Callithrix jacchus: one gene and its partners. The main gene of each other region encodes a partner of the protein of the gene in region 2 in a complex. Links are inferred from orthologs where the notes say so. Each region holds a gene or a part of one and is shown on either strand. Other genes may lie near its edges. The genes, in order: TMEM126B, NDUFAF1, ECSIT, ACAD9 and TMEM186.

Region 1 (4,314 bases), on a different chromosome or scaffold from region 2:
TCCTTACAGAATTTATAGATTCAGATTTAAAAACATTTATAGTTTAGTAGTGTGCCAGGTACTATGTCAGCTGCTTTCACATACTTTATGTTAATAATTCAATCAATATTTAGTGAGTTCTTATTATCTGTTAGACACTGGCTTTTTGTTATATATATTTTTTCTTGCTAAACACCCTACAATGCACAGATACTGGCTTTCTGATTCACACACTAACCCAAGAAATTGGTAGTATGATGATTATCTCTATACAGATGAGAAAACTGAGGTTCTGAAAGGTTCGCTTGCCTTAAGATTTAGTGTAGAAGAATGACATACTGATACTGTTTCTGTTTTCCTTAGTTTTCTCCTCTCCTGATTCCAAGAAGGTAGTCAGGCCCTTTGTAGTTGTCCTAGTTCTTCAGGTGGGGAAGTGGAAACAGTGGCTGCTTATTGACATCTTTATCCCCAGTTTCTCATGAAAGACTGCGCTTATTTTGGAAATAGTGCTGTATTTCCTGGAGAGGTAGCAGAGAGCAGGGATTGCCTTGGAGAACAGCGAGAGAGAAAATCAGAAAGAGGGGCACTGCTCCAGAAAGGGAACAGGCAGTGGATGGTGGCTACTACTTTGGAGTACATAAATTATATATCCCGTTCCCTATTAGCATCTGTGGTGGAAGCAGAGCCTTTGTGAGAAATGGGCATGTGCCAGAGCAGAGGCCCATGGCACTGGGCTCCTCGGTTGTAAGGTTCTTGTGTCCTAAGTGTGATAAATAGACAGCTGCCAATGTCAAGGGACCATGAAGATTTGGCCAGTAGCATCTTAACAGAAACTAGAGAGGTTAAAAAACAAAACAACAAAAAAGCAAACCCTGCACTCTCAGACAGGATCCTTTCTGAAGTTTTGCTCTGGGCAAGACTCTACGGTCTCTGTGAAGTCTTAATAACATTTGTTAAATCCAAACATGTGGCTGCAAATGTTTACCTACTACAGCAGCAAGTGGAAGGTCTATTGATGCTAAGTTCACTGCTTCTTACTCTTTTTCATCTGGATTAGCCAAACAGCCTCTTCACAAATTTACACTAATCCCAATTTTAATGTTTATATTAAAGGCAAATACTAAATCTCAAATTTAAGGAGTCCTAGGCAAGAGAATTAGAGTGGATGAAGCATAATGAACACAGAAGATACTTAATAAATCAGTGGTTCTCAACCTTCAGCATGCACAAGAATCATGTGGCGTATTTATTTGAAATGCAGTCTCATGAACTCCCTCCTGAGATAACTGGATTCCGTAACAGTAGAATGAGGCCTAGACTCTCCATTTTAATAGCACCAAGGGTTTCTGATGCTGTAGTCAATGGACATACGTTGAATATCACTGTAATACTCATTTGCTGAATGAGCAGTATGTTCCAGTCCTAACTATAGAAGGGCCAGCTAATTATCCACAGCTCCTGCTCCTGGCATCAACATACAGAAGGTATGGGCTCCTTTGAACTTTCTCATGGTGTTACACAGGGAGTAATAATGGACCAGTTTCTTTCTCTGCATCATTGCACAACTGTACTCGATCTTTTTCTGTAACATTTCTGGAGAGGGCAGGGGGAAAAAAGGTAAAATATTTTACAGATTACAAATTTTCAGGGACTAGACTTAATCTTTTGCCTCTCCCTGACACCCAAATGTAAAGTATAAGAGATAGTAACATCTAAGGGAGGTTGTATACCTAACCCATCTATTGTACTAAAAGGGCAGATGCCAATAACATGAGTAACCATAAACCTTAGATAAATTTTTGTTTTGCTCTCATCCAATTCATTGAAGTCCCCCACCTCCCACCAAAAACGAAAAACAAAACAAACTTTCAGGCAACATCCTCTACTAATCTCCTACCTAGTCTACACCCTAAAATCTCTATAGGGAAAACACCCAGGATTATGATTACAGGACAGCAAATACTAAATGCTGAAAACAACACAGGAAATATTTATTAAGTGCTTAAGCTTTCCAAGGCACTGTCGAAGATCAACTGCTTTCATTACACCCCTCCCCTTTTAAGGCCACTCAACTAATCACCACATTTATACCAGTAAGACTGCATATATGTAGGTTTATAGTTTGCAAAGCATTTGACGGTTTTGTAGTGCTTTCAGGTTTATTATTTCACCTAAACTTTAGAATTTCATTGAATGTTCGCTCATCATTTAGGGAGTACCTGGTATATGCCAGGCCTCCCGGTAATCCCATCCTTGGGAATCCACAATGTAGTGAGGGTTTAGAACAATTTAAACGCAGAATGAGAGAGCGACATAAACAAAAAACCCAACAAACCAAGAAAAGGCAAACGATCTAGCCAGAGGAAGCATGGGAAGGCTTCCCCGAGGAAGTGGCATTTAAACCAATGCCCGAAAGAGAACAATTTGCCACAGGAGTTGGGATGGATAGAAGCAGGAAAATATTCCAAGTTGAAGAAAAGGCCTTTGCAAAGACCTGGAGACAAGAGAAAACAAACTGCAGATAATGAGGACTTGACTTTAGGTCTTCTACGTTCTCTCCGCCTCTTTCCACAGCAACTGGAGACTTAAATCGACTGCTCCTTGCATGGACTTGGGAGCTGTGTTCTTTAACGTTTCAAATCTCCTTTACATGTATCATCTTAGAAGAGTCTGCCAACACTTTGAAGCTGCAGAAATCACCCCCACTATACCACTTCGGGTTTCCGCCTACCTTGGGCGCTTCCTCAGCTCCCACCGGCTCCACACCTGAATCCAACTTAGCCCCAGCCTCATACCCGAGCGCCGCCATTTTGATGACTCACGTGACTTGCAAGGGGGCGGGGACCCAGAACGCCCTGGGAGGGAAGTGGTGCTGATTTACGGCTCACGCGTCTCGCTTGCAGCCCGGGCCGGCCCCCACTCAGTCAAAAGCCGCGCCCTCCATCCTGACTGTGATTGGGCGCGGAATCTGGAAATTACGGCCACTCATTTGCTTAGAAGAGGTCCAGATGCCTGCGGGCCCGCCCCGCTCGCCAGCCGAGTATTTCCTCCTCTTGCTATTTGTCAGTCTAGCTACCGCCTCTCCCCGCGTCCTGCGGGTAAGATGGGGCGGCCCGAATTTTGGAATGTTGCTGCGCTCCTGCCTCTCCTCAGGGCAGCTCTGTTAGCTGGGAACTAGCTGCCTGCCCCTTTCAGTCCTTGAGGGAACTCGCCCCTTTGACCTGGCCTGTGTGTTAAAGCTCTGCTTCTCGGGCACCTCCTCCTCAAAACCCCCAACCAGCAGCCGAATGCCGTCAAAGCAGCCCCGACTAGCCTCCTCCCCTCTCAGCCGTCTGACTCCTCTCCCCAGTCTGTAGTCCCCTCATTTCCATGCTTAAGCCCCGCTTGGAAAGAGACCGTAGAGAAATTTGCTCCCTACCCCCCGAGAAGACCCGTTTGTCAGCCGTGTCTTGGGGTAGGGGGCACTGCAAGGCCTGACGCTATTTTGTGCGCTTAAATGCCCAGCAGTATCTCCCAGACCGGCAACCCCCGACCCTCCAGTCTCCATATCTTAGAAAAGCCAAATTCGAGAGTTATATAATTTCTAGTGCTGCTGTTGCTCCTGCCTGAGGAAACACTTCATCGCGTGAAGGGTGCAGGACATTTCAGTGCTCTTCCCTAAAAGAACGGGGCTTGGGCAGGGGTGGCCAGCGGTGTCAGAGAAATGTCCTGTCTTTTCTGCAAAAGGAAGGTGGGTAGTTTGAAGAGAGATTGAGAGAAAAGGTGGATGTGAAAACCAAGCAGCTGCACTTTCTCATTTAGGAAATCGCGGACCGTTTGCATAGCTTATGCTTACATGTCTAATACTACTACGGCGTCTCTGAAAACACCTCTGGGAGAAGGTTTGGCTTCTCTTGAAGTTTCAGTGTTTTTCCTTGCCGGATAGGGAGCTGCTTGTATGCGAAGAGATGGCATAATGTGAATGACTCCAGTGTGAAGAAGTCTCCTTCGCCAACTCATCCTGCATCAAGTGCCCATTGAGTAGCACTGTCACTTTAATGTCTCCATGCCAAGGGATTGCTTTCCTTTTTTTCAATCCTCTTGGTTAATACATGGGAGGATCAGAATCAGAGGGGCATTAAAGGATCAAGCCTGGGGGCTTGGAGAGCACAGAAGAAAAAAATGAAAGTGACAGCAGGCTGGATCCTGAGTTACTGAGAGGGTGAGATCTGAAACTTCTGATCAGTAAATAGAAGGGGGCCTTTCAGTGTGTGTTCTGCCCCAGAAAGCTGTTCAAACTCACCTACCTTTTTAGAGACTGGAGTCAAAGAGGTTTTTAAAAGTATTTTTTGGGAG
Region 2 (3,514 bases):
TGACAGTATTTATCAAAATTACAAAAGCATTTACTCTTTAACCCAGTAATCCTACTTGCAGAAGTTGGCCTAGAGATGCATCTGCATAAATACAAAGTGATCTTGCACGTGGTTTTTCACTGAAACATAATAATAGCAATTGGCAACTTAAGTGTCCTTCAACAGAGGACTCATTAAACAACTATGGAATATCCACATAATACATAATATAAAACAAAATAAAAAATGGGCCCCTGGCATGCTGCTCGCAGTGGGGAATGTCCCAGGGAGAGCTAGCAGAGTCACAGGCTCTGCTCCACCCCATGTGGCTGTGTGAGCCAGGCCTGGCTCACCCCATGTGGAGATGGCTGAACAGTTGGACAAGAAGTACTACACCCTGGAGGAGATTCAGATGCACAACCACAGAAAGAAATCATGGCTGATCCTATACCACACGGTGTACAATTTGACCAAATTTCTGGAAAAGCATCCTGGTTGGAAAGAAGTCTAAGGAATAAGCTGGAGGTGATGCTACTGAAAACTGTGAGGATGTCTGGCACTCTACAGATGCCAGGGAACAAAGTCTCACTCTGTTGCCCAGGCTTGAGTGCAATGGCACGACTTCAGCTCACTGCAACCTCCACCTCCCGGGTTCAAGAAATTCTCGGCCAGGTGCGGTGGCTCACGCCTATAATCCCAGCACTTTGGGGGGCCAAGGTGGGTGGATCACAAGGTCAAGAGATCGAGACCATCCTGGTCAACAAGGTGAAACCCTGTCTCTACTAAAAATACAAAAATTAGCTGGGCATGGTGGTGTGTGCCTGTAATCCCAGCTACTCGGGAGGCTGAGGCAGGAGAATTGCTTGAACCCAGAAGGCGGAGGTTGCGGTGAGCCAAGATTGTGCCATTGCACTCCAGTCTGGGTAACAACAGTGAAACTCCGTCTCAAAAAAAAAAAAAAAGAAATTCTCCCGCCTCAGCCTCCTGAGTAGCTGGGACTATAGGCGTGTGCCACCATGCCCAGCTAATTTTTACATTTTTAGTAGAGATGGGGTTTCATCACCTTGGTCAGGCTGGTCTCAAACTCTGGACCTAAAGTGATCCACCCACTTCTGCCTCCCAAAGTGCTGGGATTACAGGTGTGAGCCACCATGCCCAGCCAAGAACTCATTTCTTTTCTTTTCTTTTTCTTTTTTTTGAGACAGAGTCTCGCCCTGTTGCCAGGCTGGAGTGCAATGGCGCAATCTCAGCTCACTGCAAACTCCACCTCCCAGGTTCAAGTGATTCTCCTGCCTCAGCCTCACCAGTAGCTAGGATTACAGGCATGCATCACCATGCCCAGCTAATATTTTGCATTTTTAGTAGAGACGGGGTTTCACCATGTTGTCCAGGATGGTCTTGATCTCTTAACCTCATGATCCGCCTGCTTCGGCTTCCCAAAATGCTGTTGTTGGGATTACAGGCATGAGCCACCGCGTCCGGCCTTTTTTTTTTTTTTTTTTGAGACAGTCTTTCTTGCTCTGTCACCCAGGCTGGAGTGCAATGGCGTGATCTCAGCTCACTGGAACCTCTGCCTCCCAGGTTCAAGTGATTCTACTGCCTCAGCCTACAGAGTAGCTGCGATTATAGGTATGTGCTTCCATACCTGGCTAATTTTTGTATCTTTTAGTAGAGATGGGGTTTTACCATGTTGGCCAGGCTGGTCTTGAACTCCTGACTTTATAATCTGCCTGCCTTGGCCTCCCAAAGTGCTGGGAATACATGCGTGAGGCACCGCGCCCAGCCAAGACCTCATTTTTATAAACAATGAAGATTTATGCTGTTACCTTGACCTCCTGCCAGTAGGGACCCCCTCGGGTGAACATGAAGTAACTATACAGCTGATTCTTCCTCTGGACGAAATCTGTGTCCTCCATGATATTCACCATCCAAGGCCGACCATCCCCACGTACACGGAGATACAGAGTATTAAACTGGGTCCAATCATAAGGCATCTTCCTTTCAAAAGCACCCTAAGATAATGAAAGAAAAGTTAATTGTACCTCATTCTCCACTATTACCAAAATGTGAGTCATCACCACATCAGTATCATCAACAGGATTCACTAACCATTTTTCTTTTTTGACTTTCTGTCCCATAAGGAGGCAGATAAACCCGCCAATTATTATTTTAGAACAAAATCCTGACATGATTATATGTTTCGAAGGTAATGTTCAAAACACGACTGGCCCAGGACAGTGTTTTTACATCGGGTAGGCACTCACCTGTGTTCAATGAATGGAAATAAATGTATTTCCTCTATCAGGTCTTTATGGAGCAGTGGCTTCTGAGTGGCCTATTTTATGACAACTGCCTTTCCATAAGTCAGAAAATTATGAAGAATATAGCTTCAGTTTTAAAAGTGATATTTAACAACAGTATCCAAGGCCGGGCACGGTGGCTCAAGCCTATAATCCCAGCACTTTGGGAGGTCGAGGCAGTTGGATCACGAGGTTAAGAGATTGAGACCACCCTAGTCAACAAGGTGAAACCCCATCTCTACTAAAAATATAAAAAATTAGCTGGGCATGGTGGCACATGCCTGTAATCCCAGCTACTCAGGAGGCTGAGGCAGGAGAATTGCCTGAACCCAAGAGGTGGAGGTTGCGGTGAGCCGAGATCGCGCCATTGCACTCCAGCCTAGGTAACAAAAGCAAAACTCCGTCTCAAAAAAAAAAAAGGAAAGAAACTGAGCTAATAAGTGGTATAGTTCAGCTATTAAGTGGTATATTCAGTGCTGTTTAACTCCAAATCTGTGTGCTTAACAACTATCTATACTGCCTCTATGTTCAAAAGTGCAATGTAGTGTTCATTTCCAACAGCAGTTAGAGCAATCTCAAGGTTACTCAGATGTCAAGGATACCAATGTCTAGATATGAAGTAATATTTATTAGCCATTTAACTTTGGACAAGTTACTAAATTTCTCCAAGTCTGTTTCCTCATCCATAAAACCGGGATGATCTTACCTCAGGAGATTGTTGTGAGACATAAATAACGTATATAAAGTGCTTAGCACAAGGACTAGCAGGATATACTTAATAACTGTTATCTACTATTTTCATTATTCCAAAATGAATATTTGGGCCGGGTGTAGTGGCTGACACCTGTAATCCCAGCACTCCGAGAGGCCAAGGCAGGCAGATCACCTGAGGTCAGGAGTTCAAGACAAGCCTGGCCAACATGGTAAAACCCCATCTCTACCAAGAAATACAAAAATTAGTCAGGAATAGTGGTGCATGCCAATATTCCCAGCCTCTCTGGAGGCTGAGGCAGGAGAATTGCTTGAACACGGGAGGTAGAGGTTGCAATGAGCCAAGATCACACCACCGCAATCCAGCCTGGGTGACAGAGTAAGACTCTGTCAGGAGGTCTGGAGTTTGAGACCAGCCTAGCCAACTTGGTGAAACCCCGTCTCTACTAAAATTGCAAAAATTAGCCAGGTATGGTAGCGGGCACCTGTAATCCCAGCTACTCGGGAGGCTGAGACAGGAGAAT
Region 3 (3,514 bases), on a different chromosome or scaffold from region 2:
CATGCCTGTAATCCCAGCACTTTAGGTGGCCGAGGCGGGCGGATCACGAGGTCAGGAGATGGAGACCATCCCAGCCAACATGGTGAAACGCCATCTCCACTAAAAATACAAAAAAATTAGGTAGGTGTGGTGGCGTGTGCCTGTAGTCCCAGCTACTCTGGAGGCTGACAGGAGAATTACTTGAACCAGGGAGTCGGAGTTTGCAGTGAGCCAAGAATGCACCACTGCACTCCAGCCTGGTGACAGAGGGAGACTCCATCTCAAAAAAAAAAAGGAAGAAAGAAAAGAAAAAGAGAAAGAGAGGAAGGGAAGGGGAGGGGAAGGGAAAGGGGCAAGAGAAAGAGAAGAGAAAGGAAAGGGGAAGGGAAAGAGAGACTGGGAGGGGGACGGGAGCTGTGGAGGAAGGAGGGGCTGAGACCCAGGAGAGGTGCTGCCAGCTCTCAGGGCAGCCCACTCCCCACCCCACAAGGGCCTCCTGTCCTCACCGTGGTTCTCCATCTGCTCCAGGACGGCCACCCCACACTGCTGCTGCCGAGGATAGTGGATGAAGATGTGCTGGATGAAGTTGCGAGGCCGGAAGACCTCCTTGGGGAAGATGTCGAGCAGCTGGTTGTACACGGCCAGGTCCCGCTCAACGCCATACTCACGCATCTTGCGCAGGGCCAGGTAGATAAAGTCAACGTGGCCCCGCTTACGCACGCTGTGCTCCCCAAACTTCTGCACCGCCTGCAGGAAGCTCGCCTTGTCCCGTTTCCCATTGGGCGCCTGCCCAAACATGTTTTCATAGGGCACCACGGCCTTGGTGCGTCTCTGCTGGGGTTCCGTTGGGGTGGGAACCAGCGCCGTTTCAGAGCTGTGGGTGGCTGCGCTGCAGTGGAGGCCCCGAGGGAGCTGGCGGGCGACCTGGGGAGGGAGGAGAACTGCTGGAATCTGACACCTCCCAGTGTCTGGGGTAGGGGGGCTGCCAGGCTGGCTTTTTCCTTGGAGAGGTGCCAGTGGCCTCCCTGAGGACCTTGGAGGTAGGAAACTGTGGTTACAAACCCAAGATTCGAGGCCACTACAAAGTGCAATAAAACACAGTGCTGGCATGGCAGGGAGAAAACAGGCGCTGTCAGCCATGGGGCAGCTGCTAAAAACTGCCATGGAGGCAACTTGGTAATATTCATAGTGATGACACACACATGCCCTTTTTTTTTTTTTTTGAGACAAAGCGTTGCTGTCCTCCAGGCTGGAGTGCAATGGGGCAATCTCGGCTCACTACAACCTCCTTTTCCTGGGTTCATGCAATTGTCCTGCCTTGGCCTCCAGAGTAGCTGGGATTACGGGCTCCCGTCACTGCGCCCAACTAATTTTTATATTTTTAGTAGCGATGGGGTTTCACCATGTTGGCTAGGTTGGTCTGGAACTCCTGACCTCAGGTGATCCGCCTGCCTTCACCTCCCAAAGTGCTAGGATTACAGGAGTGAGCCACTGTGCCCAGCCTTTTTTTTTTTTTTTTTTTTCAGACAGGGCTGGCTCTGTGGCCTAGGCTGGAGTGTAGGGTGCTACTCTGGCTTACTGCAGCTTTGAAGTCCTGGGCTTAAGAATTCTCCCTGTCAGCCTGTCCAGTAGCTGGCATTACAGGTGTACATCATGGCACCTGGCTAATTTTTAAATTTTCAGCAGAGGTGGAGTTGTACTATTTTGCCCAGGCTGGTCTTAAACACCTGGCTTTAAGTGATCATCTTGTCTCCACCTCCCAAAGTGTTGGGATTTCTTTTTTTCTTTTTTTGAGGCAGAGTCTCACTTTGTCACTCATGCTAGAGTGCAGTGCCATGACCTCAGCTCAATGCAACCTCTGCCTCCTATGTTCAAGCGATTCTCATGCCTCAGCCTCCCAAACAGGGACTACAGATGTGCTCCGCCATGCCCCACTAATTTTTATATTTTAGTAAAGATGGGATTTCACCATCTTGGCTAGGCTGGTCTCAAACTCCTGATCTCATGATCCACCCACCTCAACCTGCCAAAGTGCTGGGATTACAGATATAAGCCACCGTACCCAGCCTATTTTTGTATTTTTAGTAGGGATGGGGTTTCACCAAGTTGGCCAGGATGGTCTCAAATTCCTGACCTCAGGTGATCCACTCACTGCAGCCTCCCAAAGTGCTAGGACACCCTTTTTTCTTTAAGAGATGAAGTCTAGCTGTGTTGCCCAGGCTAAAGTGTAGTGGTTAATCACAGGCATGAGCCAACTGATCAGCACAGGAGTTTTGACCTGCTCTGTTTCCAACCTGGGTCAGTACACCCTTCCTTAGGCAACCTGGTGGTCCCCCAAGTCCCAGGAGGTCACAATATTCACACAAAACGTAGTGCAGGATGCTCCATCAGCACAGTGCACAACAGCCCAGAACTCCTGGGCTCCAGTGATTCTCCCACCTCAGCGTCCAGGGTAGCTGGGACTACAGGCATGCATCACTAAAAGCCAGGCTAATTTTTGTATCTTTTTGTAGAGACGGGGTTACACTATGTTGCCCAGGCTGGTCTCAAACTTCTGGGCTCAAGAGATCCTTCTGCCTCAGCCTCCCAGTGTTGGGGTTATAGGCTTGAGCCACTGAGGCTACCTGGGGCTACTTTTATGTTACAGTGTAGCTCAAAGTAATTGAATAGTTGTGAGGGAGCCCATGTGGCCTGCAAAGTTGAAAATATTTACTATGTGACCCTTTATGAAAAAGTTTGCCAAATCCTGGTTCTAGATGATACAGTAACGAATTTCTTATTTTAATTAAAATTGAATGTTTAAATTAGAAGGGTTACATATAAGGCATCTTTAAAAATATATAGCTAATTATCCAGGCAAGGTGGTGAGTGCCTGATAGTCCCAGCTACTTTGGAGGCAGAGGTGGTTGGACTGCCTGAAGCCAGGAGTTCAAGGCTGTAGTGTGCTTTGATTGCACCACTGCACTGCAGTCTGGGTAACATAGTGGGACTCTCTCTCTCTCTCTCTCTCTCTCTCTCTCTCTCTCTCTCTCTATTTATTTATGAGACGGACCCTCACTCTGTTGCCAGGCTGGAGTGCAGTGGCACGATCTTGGCTCATTGCAACCTCCATCTCCTGGGGTTCAAGTGATTCTCCTGCCTCAGCCTCCAAGTAGCTGGCTGTGCACCACCATGCCCAGCTAAGTTTTCTATTTTTGGTAGAGACAAGATTTCACCATATTGGCCAGGCTGGCCTCAAACTCCTGACCTCGTGATCTGCCCGCCTCAGCCTCCCAAAATGCTGGGATTACAGGTGTGAGCCACTGAGCCCGGCTGAGACTCCATTTCTCTATGAAAAAATTAAAAAATAAGCTGAGCGTGGTGACGTATGCCTGTAGTCCCAGCTACTCAGGAGGCTGAAGCCAGAGGATTGCTTGAGCCCAGGATTTCCAGGCTGCAGTGAACTATGATTGTGTTGCTGTACTCCAGCCTAAACGACAGAGTGAAACCTTGTCTCTAAAAAATAAATGTGTGTGTGTGTGTGTGTGTGTGTGTG
Region 4 (3,514 bases), on a different chromosome or scaffold from region 2:
TGGATTTGCATGTTCGGAACATTTCATAGAAATACAGTCATATGCAAGATCCAGTCTTTGGTGACAGGCTTCTCTCACATAGTGTGATGTTTTCAAGGTTCATCTCTCTTGTAGCATGAATAAGTAATTCATTCCTTTTATGGCTAAATTATCTTTTGTTGAGTGGAGATAGCACATTTTGTTCATCCATTCACCAGCTGATGGGCATTGGGTTGTTAGCACTTTTGGCTGCTATCAATAATGAACATTCATGTCAAGTTTTTGTGTGGAAATATGTTTTCAGTTATTTTGCTTTATACCTAAATGTAGAATTTCTAGTGGGCCCAAGTTAGTCTGGAACTCCTGGGTTCAAGTGATCCTCCTGCCTTGGCCTCCCAAAATGCTGGTACTACAGGTGGGAGCCACCATGCCCAGCTCTGGCATGTTCCTTTGGAATAACGTTCAGTGGTCTTTCTTGTGTGCGGGGACATTGGTAGAGCTGCAACTGTGAGTGAACTACTTAGTTCCGAGATGTTAGGACAGTGCTTTCTCCCAGCCCGAGGGAAGGCAAGCTGATCCGTTTGCCTGGTCTGGTAAAGGTAGACGTGTGGTTATGGCCTCCTCCCCCTGCCTCCTTCAGGGCCCCTGGGCTCTCCCTTTCTCCCTGCAGGTGGCCATGGACATCCTCAACAGTGGCCGGTTCAGTATGGGCAGCGCTGTGGCTGGGATGCTCAAGAGATTGATTGGTAGGTAAGTCAGGGACAAGACCCTTTGTGTTCCACTTCCTGCTGCCCCGGCTCCATCCCTGGAGGCTCTGCCATTCCCCCGGCCACTTCCAGGCTGGTGCTGAACTAGGCCACCTCCACTGAGGGTCTAGCCTGAGCTCCGTCCATGGGCTTTTGTGGAGACCAGAGGGTCTCCTCAGCCTGCCCCTGAATTGGTTATCTTCGAATTCCTCTGTTTCACTTCCACACGGGATGGGGATGGGGGAAGGGGCTTTCTGTCTGGCGCGAGAGGAATAGGGGCAGAGCTGCTTGGTAAGCACGTACCATGAGCCAGGCTCCCAGGACACATGGCCTCTGGTGCCCAAGGTTCACGCTGCCTCAGTGACTGCATGGTGTGTGGGGAGTGGTTTGGAACCCAGGTCCCTGGGCCTCTGGATCTTTTTTTGTTCTGTTCTGTCAGGATACCTGAAACCTCCATTTTCCTTTGCCAGTGAGCTTAGAACAACCCTGTAACCATCCTGTCTGTTGTGGAAGCATCTGTGAGGAAATGGGAATGCCTGGGATGGCACATCCCTAAGTGCTTTATGAAGCTCCTCTTTGGATGCCAGGCTCTGGGCCGGCCTCTTTTGGGCCAAGATGGGCATACTTGTTTTGGTTTACCTCCATTTTAGAGATGAGAAGACAGAGGCTCAGAGAGGGCAACTGGACCCAAAACTAAAGCTCTCAGGCTCCAGGCTCAGGGCTTTTCTCACTTGCAAGTCCTCTGGGGAACTCAGCCCTGTTCACCTCCTGAGTGCGCCACACCTGGGAGAGCCTGTGGAGAACATAGCTACGGGCGGCAGGTGGTGGTGGTGAGGTGCTTCTGCCTGGGAGAGGCGCCATCTAATTCATGGGCCCTCAGAGCTCAGCACTTGGTCACAACCACATGCCTGGAAGTCCCAGCCTGAGTATTCAAGCCGGGCAGCCCCACCTGCTTTGGTCAGGAGCACTGTGCGCTGGGTTTGGGCCTGCACCGCCTCTCTCTGGGGCTTCTGTGCCTGGCTTTGTGTGAGGAGCCTTCTGCCTTCCACCTGGTTGCATCTTCAGGGAGGTGACATGCTTGGCCCAGGCCACTGGCTGTAAGAACCATTGCCAGGATTCAAGTCTGTATCTGATGCTAAACTGTAGATTCCATTAGGAGGGGTGGTTCTCCTCTGACCCATGGGTGCTGACAAGTGGAGTTACTAGCTTCTGGGGCATTTGATCTCAGCAGACATGCTTCTCATAGTGCCTGCCTGTGGGAAGGGTAAGGATGATGGCCATAGGAAATTATGTTTCAATAACAAAAGTTCCAGTTCTTTCTAATGACTCTGCTCTTCCTCAGAAATGACTGCTGAGTATGCCTGCACAAGGAAACAGTTTAACAAGAGACTCAGCGAATTTGGATTGATTCAGGTATAGACAGTTGAGTGCTGTCTTTGTGGATTTCACTGTGTGACATGACTGTGTTCTTTTGATGTCTGTACTGGTGACTCTTCTGTGGTGATTTGGGAAGAAGACTAGTTAAGGCTTTATTTAACAAGGGTCGCTGGGCTTGCTTTTCTTGGGCATTCAGGATTCTGACTTAATTACCTTCTCTCCTGTTCTGAAGATTTGGCTCTCAGCACATGCAAATTGCTTCTTGTGTTTTTTTCTGAATACTCCAGGAGAAGTTTGCACTGATGGCTCAGAAGGCTTATGCCATGGAGAGTATGACCTACCTCACAGCAGGGATGCTAGACCAACCGGGCTTTCCCGACTGCTCCATTGAGGCGGCCATGGTGAAGGTAACAGTGGCATAGCCAGAGAGCTGGCGCTGGAGGGAGGCTTGGGAAAGCTCCCTCACTGTGACCTTTCAAGCCTATGCTGTTGCCTATCATCTTCCTCCTGTCATTGATCCAGTATTTATGATGCACTAGCCCTGTGCAGCACTCCAGGGATAGACAGGCAGTGGGCGGGGAGCTGCAGCAGCAGGGAAGTGACTGGTGAGCAGCAGTTTGTAGGAAGGCTCCATGCTCCCACAGTGCAGTTTCTACCAAGCTTTTGCCAGTGGATCAGCAGTTTATAGCAGAAGGAGACCATTCTGTTAACGTCCTTTTAGAATAATAACATTGCAGCTGGCTTTTGTGAGAAGAACTTTTTTCCTTAATTTATGGCCTTCCTACTTTTTGGTTTCAAAACGTCCTCTTAAAAACTAAATATATGGCAAGGCATGGTGGCTCACGCCTATAATCCCAGCACTTTTGGAGGCTGAAGTGGGTGGATCACAGAGGTCTAGAGTTCGAGACCAGCCTGGCCAACATGATGAAACCCCATCTCTACTAAAAATAGAAAAAAATAGCCGGGCAAGGTGGCGGGCACCTGTAGTCCCAGCCACTTGGAAGGCTGAGGCAGGAGAATCGCTTGAACCCAGGGAGCAGAGGTTGCAGTGAGCCGAGGTCGTGCCACTGCACTCCAGCCTGGGCAACAAGAGTGAACTCCATCTCAAAAAAAAAAAAAAAAACAACTAAGTATACGAGCCTGGGCAACATGGCAAAACTCCATCTCTACAAAAAAATACAAAAATCAGCTGTCGTGGTGGTACACACCTGTACTTGGGAGGCTGAGGTGGGAAGATTATCTTATTTGGTTGAGGTAGATACTAGAGTTTTCTGTTGCTTTTGTTTTGTTCACGGTGGAGGGTATCATTTTTCGCTGTGTAAAAAAGATGGCTACCCTTTGGGGGACCCTACTTTGGTGCCCCCAACAATTGTTTTTAAGCTGGAATTGAGCTCCTGAGAGAAATGGTGAGA
Region 5 (4,067 bases), on a different chromosome or scaffold from region 2:
GTATATAACTGGCTTTAGTTTATAAAACAGTGTACCAGCATACGTCCATCTGGCTTTATTACACTGCAGGGCCATCCAAAGCAAGAGTCTCTAGACCTCTGGGTGGGGTTTTGTGCTCACCTGGATGACATCTCTGCTCATTGATGTGTAGTTAACAGTCCCTTCTGGTAGTCCCTTCTGCCGCTGGACATGTGAGGGGGCACAGCACAGAGTTCTGGATGTCGCTAGTGACTGCTCAAAGTCTTTCTCCATGCTGAAACCTCTATACAAATGCTTAATATCTGCTCTGGGCTGTTGAGTCCGCAAAAATTTTGACATTTATTGTTTATTCCCACACCCATCCCATGCAACAAGAAGACTTTCCATTTTATAGATGGAGGTTCAAAGAGGCTCAATAACCTCTTTGCCAGGACAAGTAACAGAACTGAGACTTCTGGCTCCAAATTCTACACTCCCCTGCCACACCTCTTTGCCTTCCCATTTCACAGCAATGGACTGTCTGGGTGACCTTGGCATAGGTTCCTTTAATAACTGGCTCCTAACAGAAACCTCCAGCCATTATCTGACTGAATGTCACACACAAGTGCTATCAGAACTTGCACTTAGCCGGGTGCGGTGGCTTACACCTGTAATCCCTGCACTTTGGGAGGCCGAGGCAGATGGATCAAGAGGTCAGGAATTTGAGACCAGCCTGGCCAACATAATGAAACCCCGTCTCTACTAAAAATACCAAAAAAGTTAGCCAGGTGTGGTGGCGAGCACCTGTAGTCCCAGCTACTCGGGAGGCTGAGGTGGGAGAAGCGCTTGAACCTGGAAGGCGGAGACTGAATAAGCTGAGTTCACACCACTCCAGCTTGGGGAAAAGAACGAACTCCATCTCAAAAAATGAAAAGAAAAAAAAAGAACTTGCATTTAGAGCCTTTTTCCTAAACCTGGACACCAAATCTCACCTTGTAAATTTCTACATCACAAAACACATGTTCCCAGGGGCCCAGGAAAGTCTCCAAGTACTCAATCCCCTTTCTTCAATCTTGCGCACACCCTCGGCCTTCCTGTCAATCCAGGCAACCCAGAATTACCCAGAGGTCCAGCTCCCAGTTGTTTACTTGAATATCTGCAGCGCCCCAAACACCTGTGTGAAACACTCTTTGTCCAGGATGCGTCCGTGGCGTAGGGTAAGGTAGAAGGTCTGTTTCCCACTGTACTGCTGGATACGCATGAACAGCTCCTCAGGGCAGTCCTTGGTTTCTGTCAGGGGTATCACATCTTCCACGGGACAGTATGTGTCCTGCCGCCAGCCCCAGAAGTTCAGGTGGGCCACCCGCAGTATGGTGCCAGACTCGTTCAGATACAGGATGCCAACCAGTCTCCGAAGGAAATAGCTCATCCAGCAGAGCATGGCCAGAGCAAAGCATGACACCCCATTCATGATGCAAAGGGACTTGAGAGTCAGGAGGCCCTGGGAGTACCAGTAATAGCCTGGTGGCAAAGCTATCACTGTCAGGGCAGTCTGTGCCAACTTCAGTCGAGACAGGTACCCGAAGGATCTGATGGCATCAAAACGGTAAAACATCCGGAATTTCTCAGTCTCTGTGTCTGGTGGTTTCTCCTTTGAGGTGGGTGACGTGCTCCCCAGCCACCTCTTAGGATCCTCCTGCCCACTGCAGCACCACCACAGCCCATGGAGAGGCCGTCCCCATGCAGTTTTTCCTGGAAACCTAGGCACAGCTCGGAGAAGGGCAGCCTGAAAGGGAGATAGTAGACCATTTCTCTTATGGAACTCAACCACATTAATCACACGGTAAACATCTGCAAAGCATCTCACTCCAAGGCTTTTGCCAATCCTGCAAGGTCACCATTATTGCCAGAGAAGGAAAGGGTAAAGCCAGATGCTACCTCATGTGAGCAACACAACAGCTACCTAAGATAGGTATCCCTATTTCCACTTTACCACTAGGGAAACTAAGCCCAGAGAGGGTAAGATGTTTACCCAAACATAGTCAGTGAGTGCAGCAGAGTCCGACTCTCAAACCGGGCCTCTTTTCACCAGGCAATTCCAAATAAATATAGGAAAAGAGGTACAGCCTTCATTAACTCACAACCTATCTAGGCAGGACCAACTCTGGGCTGGACAATGGATCCAAAAGGGGTTGTGAACATTTCCCCAAGCAGGATACTAAATAATCAGTGTCTTAGTGGGGAACTTGAGCAACAAATCTGTGAAATATTTATCCCAATAACTTTCCAATTCTGTTTGATTTATATGTCATCTTGGGTGCTAGAGGAAACTGCTGCTTTCTTAGCCTAGTCTGGGGAAGCAGAAATAGCAGAGGAGGAGGAGAGAAGCAGGAAGGCCCCAACACATAGCACAAGGATATTATTAGGTGAGTAACGAGGCAGTAAAAGTTCTGGTTCCGGTTCTGGCTCCAACAGTCACTGCCTGTGGATTCTTGAGCAAATTACTTCCTTCACACCCCTGAGCTTCCGTTTCTTCACCTTTCAAAATGGGGACTCAGAACACAGTGAACCAGAAGATGGTTTAGAGCCCTCAACTTAGTACCTGATGCACTGTGAGAGCCTGGCCAGTTTTAGCGAGTACTACTGCTGCGCACGTGACCCAAGGAGGTCAGAGAAAGCCGGGGGAATGGCGAACTGTAACCCACGCTGAAGCCTCCTACTAGGGATTCTCCGAGTCCGACAGTAGGGCGTCTTGTCTGCCTGCCCCAGCTCTGACCCCGATCCCCAAAACAAGGCTCGTCACCCGCCTCCTTACCATTGTCCCACCGCCTGCTGCCGGAAGTAAATGCCACCGGTCCCCGGAACCTCTAAGAGGGCATGCTCGAACGTACAAGGCGGGCGTGACCGCGTTGCACTCTGGGAGTTGCGGTCCAGGAATCGTGGCTGGCGCTAGTCCCAGGCATTGTGGGAACAGAGTCTCCTCTTCCCGACGTGCCCTGCAGCTCGGGGGCCGAACCCGGAAGTTCCGGGCTGAGCTCCTGGTGCCAACGAGTCTCGTCAGGAGCAGCTAGAAACTGGGGATATGGCAGGTCCCGGCCCAGCGCTCTGCCTCTTCGACGTGGATGGGACCCTCACCGCTCCGCGGCAGGTAAGTGGCGGTAGCAGCCGAGACGGAGCCCGTGCTGTTCCCAGTTGAAGTTATCGACCACCCAGGGTGGGCGCCAAGGGGTAGCTGAGGACCGCAGAAGTGTTCATGGGGGCTGAACCCTACTCGGGGTGTCCTGGAGGAATGAGAGTGAAGCTCTGACCAGCTCTTCAAGAGCTCTTGGTGCTTGGAGAGATGAGACGGGGCTGAAGAACTCCTAAGAGCAAGAAACTTGTGCTGGGTCGGAAAATGCAATCTGGATTCACGGCTGGTCCTCGGGACTGTTGGACCAGGATTTGTACCCGAGATCAAGCCCCCTTTTCAGCTATGTTACAGACATTCTCAGTCCTGTAACCAATGAGCTGTGCCGTGAATAATATTTTTAAAAGGTTTCCAGGTCAAACCGACCTAGTGGAGTCTCGTCTTCACCTCTTGACAGCTGTGTGACCTTGAGCAAGTCATTAATGTCTCTGAGCTTCAGCATCTACAGCTTTTTTTTTTTTTTTTATAGGAGTTTTCGCTTTTGTCTCCCAGGCTAGAGTGCAATGGGGCGACCTCGGCTCACTGCTGTAACCTCCGCCTCACAGGTTCAAGCAATTCTCCTGCCTCAGCCTCCGAAGTAGCTGGAATTACACGCACCTACCGCCACGCCCGGGTCCTACCTCAGCCTCCCAAGTAGCTGGGATTACAGGCACCTGCCGCCACGCCCGGGTCCTGCCTCAGCTTCCCAAGTAGCTGGGATTACAGGCACCTGCCACCACGCCATGCTAATTTTTATATTTTTAGTAGAGACAGGGTTTCACCATGTGGACCAGACTGGTCTCAAATTCCTGACCTCAGGTGATCACTCGCGTCAGCCTCCCAAAGTGCTGGGATTACAGGCATGAGCCACCACGCCTGACCTCATCTTCAGCTTTAAATGGGGATATTACCCCCTGTGCCATATGGTGTCTGTGAGGTTCAG

What was found.
Region 1: NDUFAF1 (region 2) and TMEM126B share a complex: the UniProt entries of both Homo sapiens proteins name them as parts of the mitochondrial complex. The link is inferred for Callithrix jacchus from reciprocal best matches to the Homo sapiens genes NDUFAF1 and TMEM126B.
Region 3: NDUFAF1 (region 2) and ECSIT share a complex: the UniProt entries of both Homo sapiens proteins name them as parts of the mitochondrial complex. The link is inferred for Callithrix jacchus from reciprocal best matches to the Homo sapiens genes NDUFAF1 and ECSIT.
Region 4: NDUFAF1 (region 2) and ACAD9 share a complex: the UniProt entries of both Homo sapiens proteins name them as parts of the mitochondrial complex. The link is inferred for Callithrix jacchus from reciprocal best matches to the Homo sapiens genes NDUFAF1 and ACAD9.
Region 5: NDUFAF1 (region 2) and TMEM186 share a complex: the UniProt entries of both Homo sapiens proteins name them as parts of the mitochondrial complex. The link is inferred for Callithrix jacchus from reciprocal best matches to the Homo sapiens genes NDUFAF1 and TMEM186.

Annotation. Positions count from the first base shown.
Region 1 is NC_133511.1:54,664,688-54,669,001, forward strand, and holds the start of TMEM126B (complex I assembly factor TMEM126B, mitochondrial), read right to left. Parts: upstream 2,802-4,314; 5' UTR 2,789-2,801; coding exon 2,711-2,788; exon of another isoform or gene 1-2,710. UniProt on the Homo sapiens protein: As part of the MCIA complex, involved in the assembly of the mitochondrial complex I. Participates in constructing the membrane arm of complex I.
Region 2 is NC_133509.1:45,212,943-45,216,456, reverse strand, and holds part of NDUFAF1 (complex I intermediate-associated protein 30, mitochondrial), read right to left. Parts: intron 1,992-3,514; coding exon 1,806-1,991; intron 1-1,805. UniProt on the Homo sapiens protein: As part of the MCIA complex, involved in the assembly of the mitochondrial complex I.
Region 3 is NC_133523.1:10,650,111-10,653,624, forward strand, and holds part of ECSIT (evolutionarily conserved signaling intermediate in Toll pathway, mitochondrial), read right to left. Parts: intron 904-3,514; coding exon 486-903; intron 1-485.
Region 4 is NC_133516.1:73,261,006-73,264,519, reverse strand, and holds part of ACAD9 (complex I assembly factor ACAD9, mitochondrial), read left to right. Parts: intron 1-649; coding exon 650-725; intron 726-2,067; coding exon 2,068-2,138; intron 2,139-2,389; coding exon 2,390-2,509; intron 2,510-3,514. UniProt on the Homo sapiens protein: As part of the MCIA complex, primarily participates in the assembly of the mitochondrial complex I and therefore plays a role in oxidative phosphorylation.
Region 5 is NC_133513.1:11,045,560-11,049,626, forward strand, and holds the start of TMEM186 (transmembrane protein 186), read right to left. Parts: upstream 2,802-4,067; 5' UTR 2,777-2,801; coding exon 2,774-2,776; intron 1,745-2,773; coding exon 1,103-1,744; 3' UTR 1-1,102. Other genes in the region: PMM2 (phosphomannomutase 2), read left to right, coding at 3,041-3,106. UniProt on the Homo sapiens protein: As part of the MCIA complex, required for efficient assembly of the mitochondrial complex I.